2 linked regions of the Callithrix jacchus genome follow. The protein of the gene in region 1 interacts with the protein of each later gene in a pairwise test. Links are inferred from orthologs where the notes say so. Each region holds a gene or a part of one and is shown on either strand. Other genes may lie near its edges.

Region 1 (4,735 bases):
ACACATATACCACACGCGTACACCAGACACATACCACATACACACACACCACACACATACACATATACACACCACATATATGCACACACACACCGTATACCACACATACACACATGTACACACACACCACACACATACATACATACACATATACAACTACGCCACATACATACACACCAACACATACACTATACATATACATACACATACACATACACATACACCACACACGTACACACACACCACGCACATACACAGGCACACATACACACACTGCACATACACATACCACACATCAGACACACATACCATACACACACACCACACGCATACACACCACACATACATGTACAGACATATACATACACACACTCCTCAAGCAGGCTATTCTCTGATAACCTTAAATTTACAAAAGACAGATGTCCATTACCTTGAGAAGTACAGGAAAGAACCCACTTTCCTTTCTAGCAGCAGCAGGAGGGTCCTCCCAAGGCTCCTGCTCCCTGTAGTAAATCACCTTGTTGAAGACATTCACAGGGTTGGGAACCTGGGGCTCCTGCATGGGATGGTGCTTTGCTGATTACTTCACCTCTGATTTCTTTTCACTTTCAGAATACATAAACCAGTCTGTTCCCAAAAGGCCTGCTGGCTCTGTGCAGAATCCTGTCTACCACAATCAGCCCCTGAACCTCGCGCCCAGCAGAGACCCACACTACCAGGACCCCCACAGCACCGCAGTGGGCAACCCCGAGTATCTCAACACTGTGCAGCCCACCTGGGTCAGCAGCGCAGTGGACAGCCCTGACCACTGGATCCAGAAAGCCATCCACCAAATCAGCCTGGATAACCCTGACTACCAGCAGGACTTCCTTCCCAAGGAAGCCAAGCCCAACGGTATATTTAAGGGCCCCACAGCTGAAAATGCAGAATACCTAAGGGTCGCACCACAAAGCAGTGAATTTATTGGAGCATGACCACAGAGAATAGCACCAACCTTAAAAATCCAGACTCTTTCAGCACCAGGACCAAGCACAGCAGGTCCTCCATCCCAACCGCTATGCCCGCGTTAGCTGTCAGACCCGCAGACTGGCTTCCCCAGCGTTGACACTGATCAGTCAGGAAGTGCCTCCACTTGGGGCACACTTGGCAAGTGGCAGATACATTCCTTTGTTTTCGAACTGTGAAGCTTTTACAGAAAGGCATCCAGCAGGAAGTTCTGAGCAGAAGTTTATCTTTCAAGGAGGTATATTTGAAAAAAAAAATAAGTATGTGTCAGGATTTTTCTTGATTGGGATCTTGGGGTTTTTAATTGTCACTATTGATATTTACTGCAGTAAGCTCTTCCAACAGGGAAGAAGCTTGCTGGTAGCACTTGCTGCCCTGAGTTCATCCAGGCCCAACTGTGAGCAAGCCACACAGGCCTCAAGTCTCCAGCAGCGATTTGATTCCAGCGGTTCCGCTCACGGCTTCCGCCCCACAACACTAAAGGTCCAAGAATCCCTTCATGGCCCCAGCAGGCCACATCGGTACTGTATCGAGTCATGGCAGGTACAATAGGATAAGCCACTCTGTCCCTTCCTGGGCAAAGAAGAAACAGAGGGGATAGAATTCTTCATTAGACTTACTTTTATAAATATGTCTCCACGGTACTCACTCCCCGCTGGTTGACCAGTGTTTTCCGGTCGTGAGTGTTACACTGACTCGTCTGTCTTCCATTCCGTCATTTTGAAACTCAGTATGCTGCCCCTGTCTTGCTGTCACAAAGTCAGCAAGAGAGGATGACACATCCCATAATCACTCGGATTCCAGCCCACGTTGGATTCATCAGGGTTCAGACCAGTAGCCCACATCTGAGAATGCAGAATACCTAAGGATGGCGCCGCTTTTGTTCTCACAGAAATACATCTCCTAATTTGAGGCTCAGATGAAATGCATCAGGTCCTTTGGGGCATAGATCAGGAAACTGCAAAAATGAAGCTGCTCTGAAATCTCCTGTAGCCATCGCCCCCAACCCCCACAATGAGTTTAGGTTACTCATGGAAGATCATTTTCTCCTTTTACTTCACTTTAAAAGCTTTTTACTCAAAGATGTTCCTTCTGCTCCCCAGACCCCATCCTTGCCCTTTGTCAAACAAAAAGTGTCTCGGCCCTGAGGCAGCTATTCAAGCACTTACAGCTCTGGCCGCAACAGGGTGTTTTACAGGTGCAATGAGTAGCATTAGGAGTAGTGTAGAATTCAGGGGGTAAATAGGAAACCAGGGTTTGAAACTGATAATGCTTTCACAACATTTGTAGATGTTTTACAAGAAGAAAGTTCCTTTCTAAAATAATTTCTCTACAATTGGAAGATTCGGCTAGTTAGGATCCCAGCTTTCCTAATCTGTGTGTGCCTTGTAACCTGACTGGCTAATGGAAGTGCTTTGAAAGGAGCCTTTTAAACTCTTCTAGGCAATATCCACCAGATCCAATTTATCAAGGAAGAAATGGTTCTGAAAATATTTTCAGCCTACAGTTATGTTCAGTCACACACACGTACAAAATGTTCCTTTTGCTTTTAAAGTATTTTTTGACTCCCAGATCAGTCAGGGCTCCTATACTTTTGTTAAGAGAATATTTGATTTTTGTCTCGATGAAAATAAAATTACATTCATTTCCACTCCATTATGCTCTCAAATACCCCTAAGTGCCTATACCAGCCTGGTATGGGTATGAAAGATACAAACATAAATAAAACATAGTCCCCGATTCTGAGAAATTCACAATTTAGCAAAGGAAATGGACTCATAGATACTAACCTTAAAACAACATGACAAATGCCAGACAGGGCCCGTCAGCCAGACACTGCGAGCACAGAGCAGGGACATTGGGTCCTACCTGAAGAGACCTGGAAGGTTCATCAGGAAGGCCTCACAGGAGGATGACCAGTTCTCAGCCACAGGAGAGGTGGGAAGTTCAGTTGCAGCAGGGGGGGACCTCGACCAAGGAAACAGCTGTCAGAGGCCTCCACTGCTGGAGTCCATGTAAGGCTGAGGTCAGTTGTCCCAACAACCCTCTCCCTCTAAGCTACGGGATGACCTTGGAGCATCCCACAAGTTCCTTGAATGTTGTATCCTGCTGGGGGATTTTGAGCTCTCATCTCTGCACGTGCTTAGTGAGGAGACTAAGCCACATTTCTAAGACTCTGAGATTTTATATCATTGTCAGTAAACCACTTTCATTATCCATTCACCTCAGGACATACAGAAATATTTCAGCCAGAACTGAGAAACAGAAGGACCCACATTCTGCTATCACTTGTGTGTCAAGAAGCGGAAGATCAGTGAGGCACGTCAGTTGTGAGTCACATTGTTGCAGTAAATCCTAGTATTTTTGTAGTTTGAAACACTAACATAATAAAAGAACAAACGCTATTCTAGCTTTCTTCTCATTCATATTTTAATTTTCCAGTGTAAAGTTTAGTTGCTAAATTCTATTAATTTTAAGATTGTACTTCCCAAAATAGTTCTCACTTCATCTGTCCAGGGAGGCACAGTGGTCTGCTTGGCAGAAGCTGCAAAGCCACGAGCCTCTCCAAGGATCTGGCCACCATGGTGCGCAGGTCAGGAAAGGAGCTGCCCAAAGTCCCATGATTTTCACCTAACAGCCCTGATAGGTCAGTTCTCAAAGCTTGGACTCCATCCCTAAAGGTCTTCCGGATTGCTAGCCTGGCCTTAACACACTACAGAGAACCTGTCAGCTGTTTCTTCCTCAGTCAGTTCCTGGAAGACCTTTGCAAGGACTTCACCTTCAGATGTGACCTTTGGAAACAGAGGCCACGGGAAGGTAAGGAGCTGGGAGCTCCCATTCACTTTGTGTGTCTTCTTGCATCATCTCCAAGGAGCTACTGTAATTACACCCTGCCGGTCACCTCATGAGGGATCAAAGAAGGGATGAGTCTTCTAAACTCTATTCTCTGTGAGTCTAGGTTGTAAGGAGGAGCACTGTGGACGCATCCTACTATACTCCAGCTGACGAAAACCAAGCTTAGGTGTTTACTGAAAGTTCTTGATTTTGTGATTTACCACCCCCGCCCCCCCACCGCCTCACAACAGCAGACATAAGGGGACTGTGGATTGCTTAGAGCAAAAGGCACTGGTTCTCCAGCGTGGCTGCCGTTGGCAATCTCCGGGTCCCAACCAAAAGTATTGTGGCTTGATTTTCTCAGGTGCAGCCCGGCCCTAGGGCCTTGTCAGAGCACCCCCTGATTATTGCAACCTTCATCAAAGTTTCCAGAACCACTGGCCTAAGGGAAGGGCCTGGTGGGGGTCTGCTTGCCGCTCGCTGGAGGTCCTTCCAGCCAGTACCACTCTCACTAGGCCTCTGATTACACCTGTGTAGCTTCAGGCTGGTGGGTGATGGGGACTCGGCACCTCCCCTCAAGCACAAGAGAATCACCTGCAGAGCTTCAGAAGAGGGGGCCTGGAGTCTCTGCAGACCAATTTAACCCAAATCTCAGGGGCGCTCTCATGATTCTAATGGGTAACCAGGGTTGAAGCCCTTATCTCTAAAGTCTTCAGTTCAAGACTGTGGGTCTGTACCAGGGCCTCCAGTCAAAGTAGAATAAAAGGCTGGGTAAGGTAGAGGTTCCCATGTGCAATGGAGAGAACAATTTGCAGTCACTGATAAGCCTGAGACTTGGCTGCTAGCGGCCGTTCCAAAACGCTCCAATTCATTTTCACCAGCAGATCAGCTGGAA
Region 2 (4,735 bases), on another chromosome or scaffold:
TAATAACAACTTCGGCTACACTTCTTAAAGCAATTTACACAATTAATCCTCTCCCAGGAATGTAACTCACATGGCCATTTTGGTACTCCTCTATATTTTGGGACAATGTTTGCAAGTGTTGACAGTTATTAGAAATGGCATGTGATTGACAACCATAGTACTCCCTACAGCAGTTCTAAGAGCCACAGCAAATGGATCTTTCCTCATATAAAGACCTAGGCACTGAATTTCTCTTACATTTAACAGTAGAAATCAGTATGCTATTATAAGATGATAAACTTTAGATAATCATCATTACTTTTCCATTGCTTTGGCTTCTGAGAGGCTGAGCTAAATCTTGTGCTCAAAGGCTAGACCTATTTCTGATTTTTGTCTTGTTGTTTTTCCAAAGCACCTACATATTTTTTTCTTCATTTAACTCTGAGGGTTTTTTGTTTTGTTTTTCTTCATTCTAATTTCATTTCTTCTGTTATGCATGTCTTTTTTCCACATATATTCCAAAGCTTTTAGGGAATTAAAAGCAGTGAAAATAATGAAATGATATTCCACATGCCCAAGTCACAAAATGGTATTAAATATTATAAAATAGTGACTGTATAAAATTGGACAATGGGCAAATAACAATAATGGATCAGGAATACTATAGCCATTTGATACAGGAGAGACATTGCTAAAGTCTTCTGTTTTTACTTTCTCTTATTTTTCCTCAAAAAAGAAAATTACATCTTCCATAAACAGATTCCAGAGAAAAAAATTTTCTTGTTACCTCTGCGAAGATGTGGATAGCTTCTGGTGGTAAGAATAGTATTGAACACGTTTACATCTGTCCCCTTTCTCCTTTCTCCTGCTTCATACAAGGCCTGTCAAGAAACACAAAAGTAAATACTTCACTATCTGCTGAAGTAATATCTGCACAAGAATATTAGACCTTGTCAAAGATTAGGCAGTTGCTTTGTGCTCAATACAATCAGAGTAGTCAACAATAAGATTTCAAGTTCTTTAAAGATGGGGACCTTATTTTGCTTGTCAAATATCTTCCACAGTTTCTCTCAAGGTATCTTGTAAACACTAGAGACTGAATATATGTTTGCAGAATAAATGTTTGCTGAACTAAATGGCTTTAAGATTATGCTCTATATCAAGAGAACTCCAAGGGGATCTCTAAAAGGATTTCTTACTCTATGTTGAAGTAATTATCAACAAATGTTACTTATAAATCAATAATTCAACCATAACCTGGACCTTGCATTTTGATGTTAGAATTTCTGGATTCAAATTCCGACTCTGCAATTTATCATCTTAGACAAATAATTGAACCTTACTAAAGTATAGATTTTTTTTCTTTTATATATGGAAAACGTAATACCTGCCCTATTATCATAAGCAGTGTCTATTAACTTTGGAATGTTAATTACCATCATTCTCTTGGGTCACATTAATCCATGTAGCCTTCATACATATGTAGTAAGAACCCTGATAGTCTTAAAATGGAAAGTAAATTCAGAAGTGTCAAAAGCAAATAAGAATTTTTTATTATGGGCAATTATTCAATGCTAATTCTTGTTCTTTAATATGTTTGCACAATTTCTATTAAAATGATAAAACCTCCAATGTACATAAAAGTTATTTTGCACTTGTCAAGCAAACTGATCTGAAATGTATGCATTTATTCAACAAAAAGTTAGTGAGTACCTATTATGTGCATGATAATGTACTGGTATAGCAGAAGTGGATGAAGATACGCAAAAAATATGTTCTTAGTGAATCATCGTAATGAATTATCTAGAGAATACTGTTCCATGAGAATGCATAATGCAAATTATAGTTGCATGTTTGTTTGTTTAAAGAGGAAATTCCAGGCCTTAAGATGGTATGATTTTTCTTATGTTGCGAGTGGATTGGTATATAAATAACCAGCAATGTCACTGAAACTATATAAAACAATATGTCAGAAAGTCTATATTATTATAATTTATCCTATATTATTAATTTAATATCATTACAATGATATTTTAGCATTATAAATTGACATCTATAAACCATTCCAATGTTTTCTGTTAAAAATAATATTAAATGTGTTTACTCTTTCCATTACACATAATAAAAAAATTACTTCTCCCCTTCTTATACCTAGTACAATAAGAGTTCAGAGGTTTTTTTTCAACAAACAATTCTTGGGAATGACAAATCAAATTTGTATTGTTCTTTTTCAGTTCTCTCTGGTTTGATGAATAATGAGAGATATTGAAAACTTAAAGACTACATTTTTTTTCTCTCTTGGGCTACAGAAAGGCATGCCTCATTCAGGAAATGAACATTAACAAGCCATTGGTCTCTCAGAAGATCTTAGATTTACTTTCACAGGGCATCATGGGGTAGCACAACCTAAGGTAGGAAGATGGACTGCAGCAGTATTTTGTAAGCACTTGCTTACCCTGGCATCGGTATCAGCCAAGTCTTCATTCACACCAAGGTCCTCAGATCGGTCACCCTGAAAGAAATCCCATTCTATTGTAAACTCTTCTCTAGCATGTACTTGCATGATTTACTTAATTCTCTTAAACTCAGATAAATAATATTCTTTGAGAAAAACATATTCTATTACTCATTTCTAGAAAGAGCTCAGATCCAAGATTTTACTTGCAATGGTTTTAGATGTTCTTCCCCTCCAAACCCCATGTTAAAATTTGATTCCAGTGTTAAAGGCAGGGCCTAAGGAGAGATATTTGGGTCCTGGGGCTGATCTCTCACGAAGAGAAAAATGCCATCTCTGGGGGATAAGTTCTTGTTCATGAGACCACCAGAGCTGATTGTTAAAGAACCTGGCACCTCCCCATTCTCTCTCTTGCTTGCTTTTTTGCCATGTGGTCTCTGCATACACCAGCTCCCTTTCCTCTTCTGTTAGGAGTGGAATCAGCCTGAGGCTCTCACCAGACACAGCTGCCCAGTCTTGAACTTTTTAGCCATCAGAATCATGAGCCAAGTAAACCATTTTTTTTAAAAAAATTATCCAGTCTCAGACTTTTCTTTATAGCAACACAAAATGGACTACAAAATTACTCTTTATATAACAAGAGGCATTACCTACAGGATCTGAGTTGTACCTTAGCAAGAGAAAGCAAAGCATTCCGAAAATCTCCAGATGTGTCTGCGGTTATGTCTTTGGCCAGATCTCTCTTCAGTTCTGAGAAAAAAGGAAAATAGATTTTACAGTAAACCAGTGATGAATAATCATAATAATATCTGACATCTCTAAATTGGTTGAAAATTCACCATGCCACAATGTTCAATGATTTGTGGAACACTGTGGCAAAATATCATCATTTTTAAATAAGAGAAAAATTACAGCAGGTTAATTTTTGGATCATTTAATTTATTTCATATGAAGCAACGGGAGAAATTTATGTAACACTGTGATTGAAAACTCAGTCATAAAGCTTTTGTTAAGAATAAATTGTATAGGTATGCATTAGCAATTAATTTTGAAATATAACATAGCATAATTTAAGCAGTAGAATAAGTAATTGTTTAAAAGAACAAAAATGGAGGTACTTACTTGAATGCAATTTATTTAGTTTAAAAACTATAAATGTCTTATATAAGTAATGTAGTTTGATGATTTGTGTGTGTAAACACTTCCACTTAACTATGTAAAATAATACTGCGATAGGAAAAGTCAATTGAATTTATAATTGACTAGTGCTATGGTTTTGATATTGTTTGGCCCTGCCAAGTGTCATATTGCAATTTATCCCCATTGTTGAAGGTGGGGACTGACGGTAGGTGTTTGGATAATGGGGGAAGATCCCTCATGAATGGCTTGGTGTGAGTGAGTTCTCTTTCTTAGTTTCTTTAAGAACTGGCTGTTCTTAAAGAAAAGAGCCTGGCATCTCCTTTTCTCTCCCTCTCTCTCTGCACACATCTGCTTCTGTCTGCTTTCTGCCATGAGTAGAAGCAGTATGAGGACCTCATCAGAAGCAGATGCTGGTCCCATACTTCTTATACGGTATTTCCTTTCTTTATAAATTGCTTGGTCTCAGTATTTCTTTATAGCAACATAAAGGGACTAAAACAACTTGAAACTGGGCAATTTAATAAGCTATCAATGGCTTATATCTTGGCATAATGAAAAAATATAAACATTTATTTTTATAAACTGTGTTTTATCAAACAAAAAATAATTGATTATTATCATTGATACAATAAGAAAATGAGGTTTAAAAGCTTCCTTATTTTTATTTTTTTATTAAATTTCATTAAAAACGATATGCAAAAGCTATTGTATTCTCCATGCTTGGTATGAGAATCAAGCATAAAGTTCTATGTGCCACATACTGGGTTGGGAAAGCAAAAAAGCCAGCAGCTCAGGGAAATGAGAAAAGGAAAATGGTAACAGACTTGCAATTATGCTCTTTTCAGTGTTGAGCATGTCATTTAAATGAGATGCTTCACTGAAGAGATAAAATAAGCTAAACTAGTCTTTTATTCTCATGAATTTAACAAATGATAAAGAGTGAGTTGCTTATGTTCACAACAATAAAGTTAAGGTTTCCAACAGAGAATTATAAGCACCCAATTCTTTACTTTTTCAAGAACAAATGAAGAACATTTTGTTAAAAGATTTTTTTTTGTTATACTTTTTTCAAAATAAATGGCATTGCGACATTTTTATTAAAAGTATTCCAGAAAAACAGAAAAATATTTTTCAGAAAAAAATTTAAATTCAATGCTCTGA

What was found. The genes of interacting proteins can lie anywhere in the genome.
Region 2: the proteins of EGFR (region 1) and ANXA1 interact in binary tests that used the Homo sapiens proteins (3 or more experiments, as listed by UniProt). The link is inferred for Callithrix jacchus from reciprocal best matches to the Homo sapiens genes EGFR and ANXA1.

What each region holds. Positions count from the first base shown.
Region 1 is NC_133512.1:22,667,878-22,672,612, forward strand, and holds part of EGFR (epidermal growth factor receptor), read left to right. Parts: intron 1-612; coding exon 613-974; 3' UTR 975-4,735. UniProt on the Homo sapiens protein: Receptor tyrosine kinase binding ligands of the EGF family and activating several signaling cascades to convert extracellular cues into appropriate cellular responses.
Region 2 is NC_133502.1:91,671,198-91,675,932, forward strand, and holds part of ANXA1 (annexin A1), read right to left. Parts: intron 3,185-4,735; coding exon 3,105-3,184; intron 2,492-3,104; coding exon 2,435-2,491; intron 861-2,434; coding exon 767-860; intron 1-766. UniProt on the Homo sapiens protein: Plays important roles in the innate immune response as effector of glucocorticoid-mediated responses and regulator of the inflammatory process. Has anti-inflammatory activity.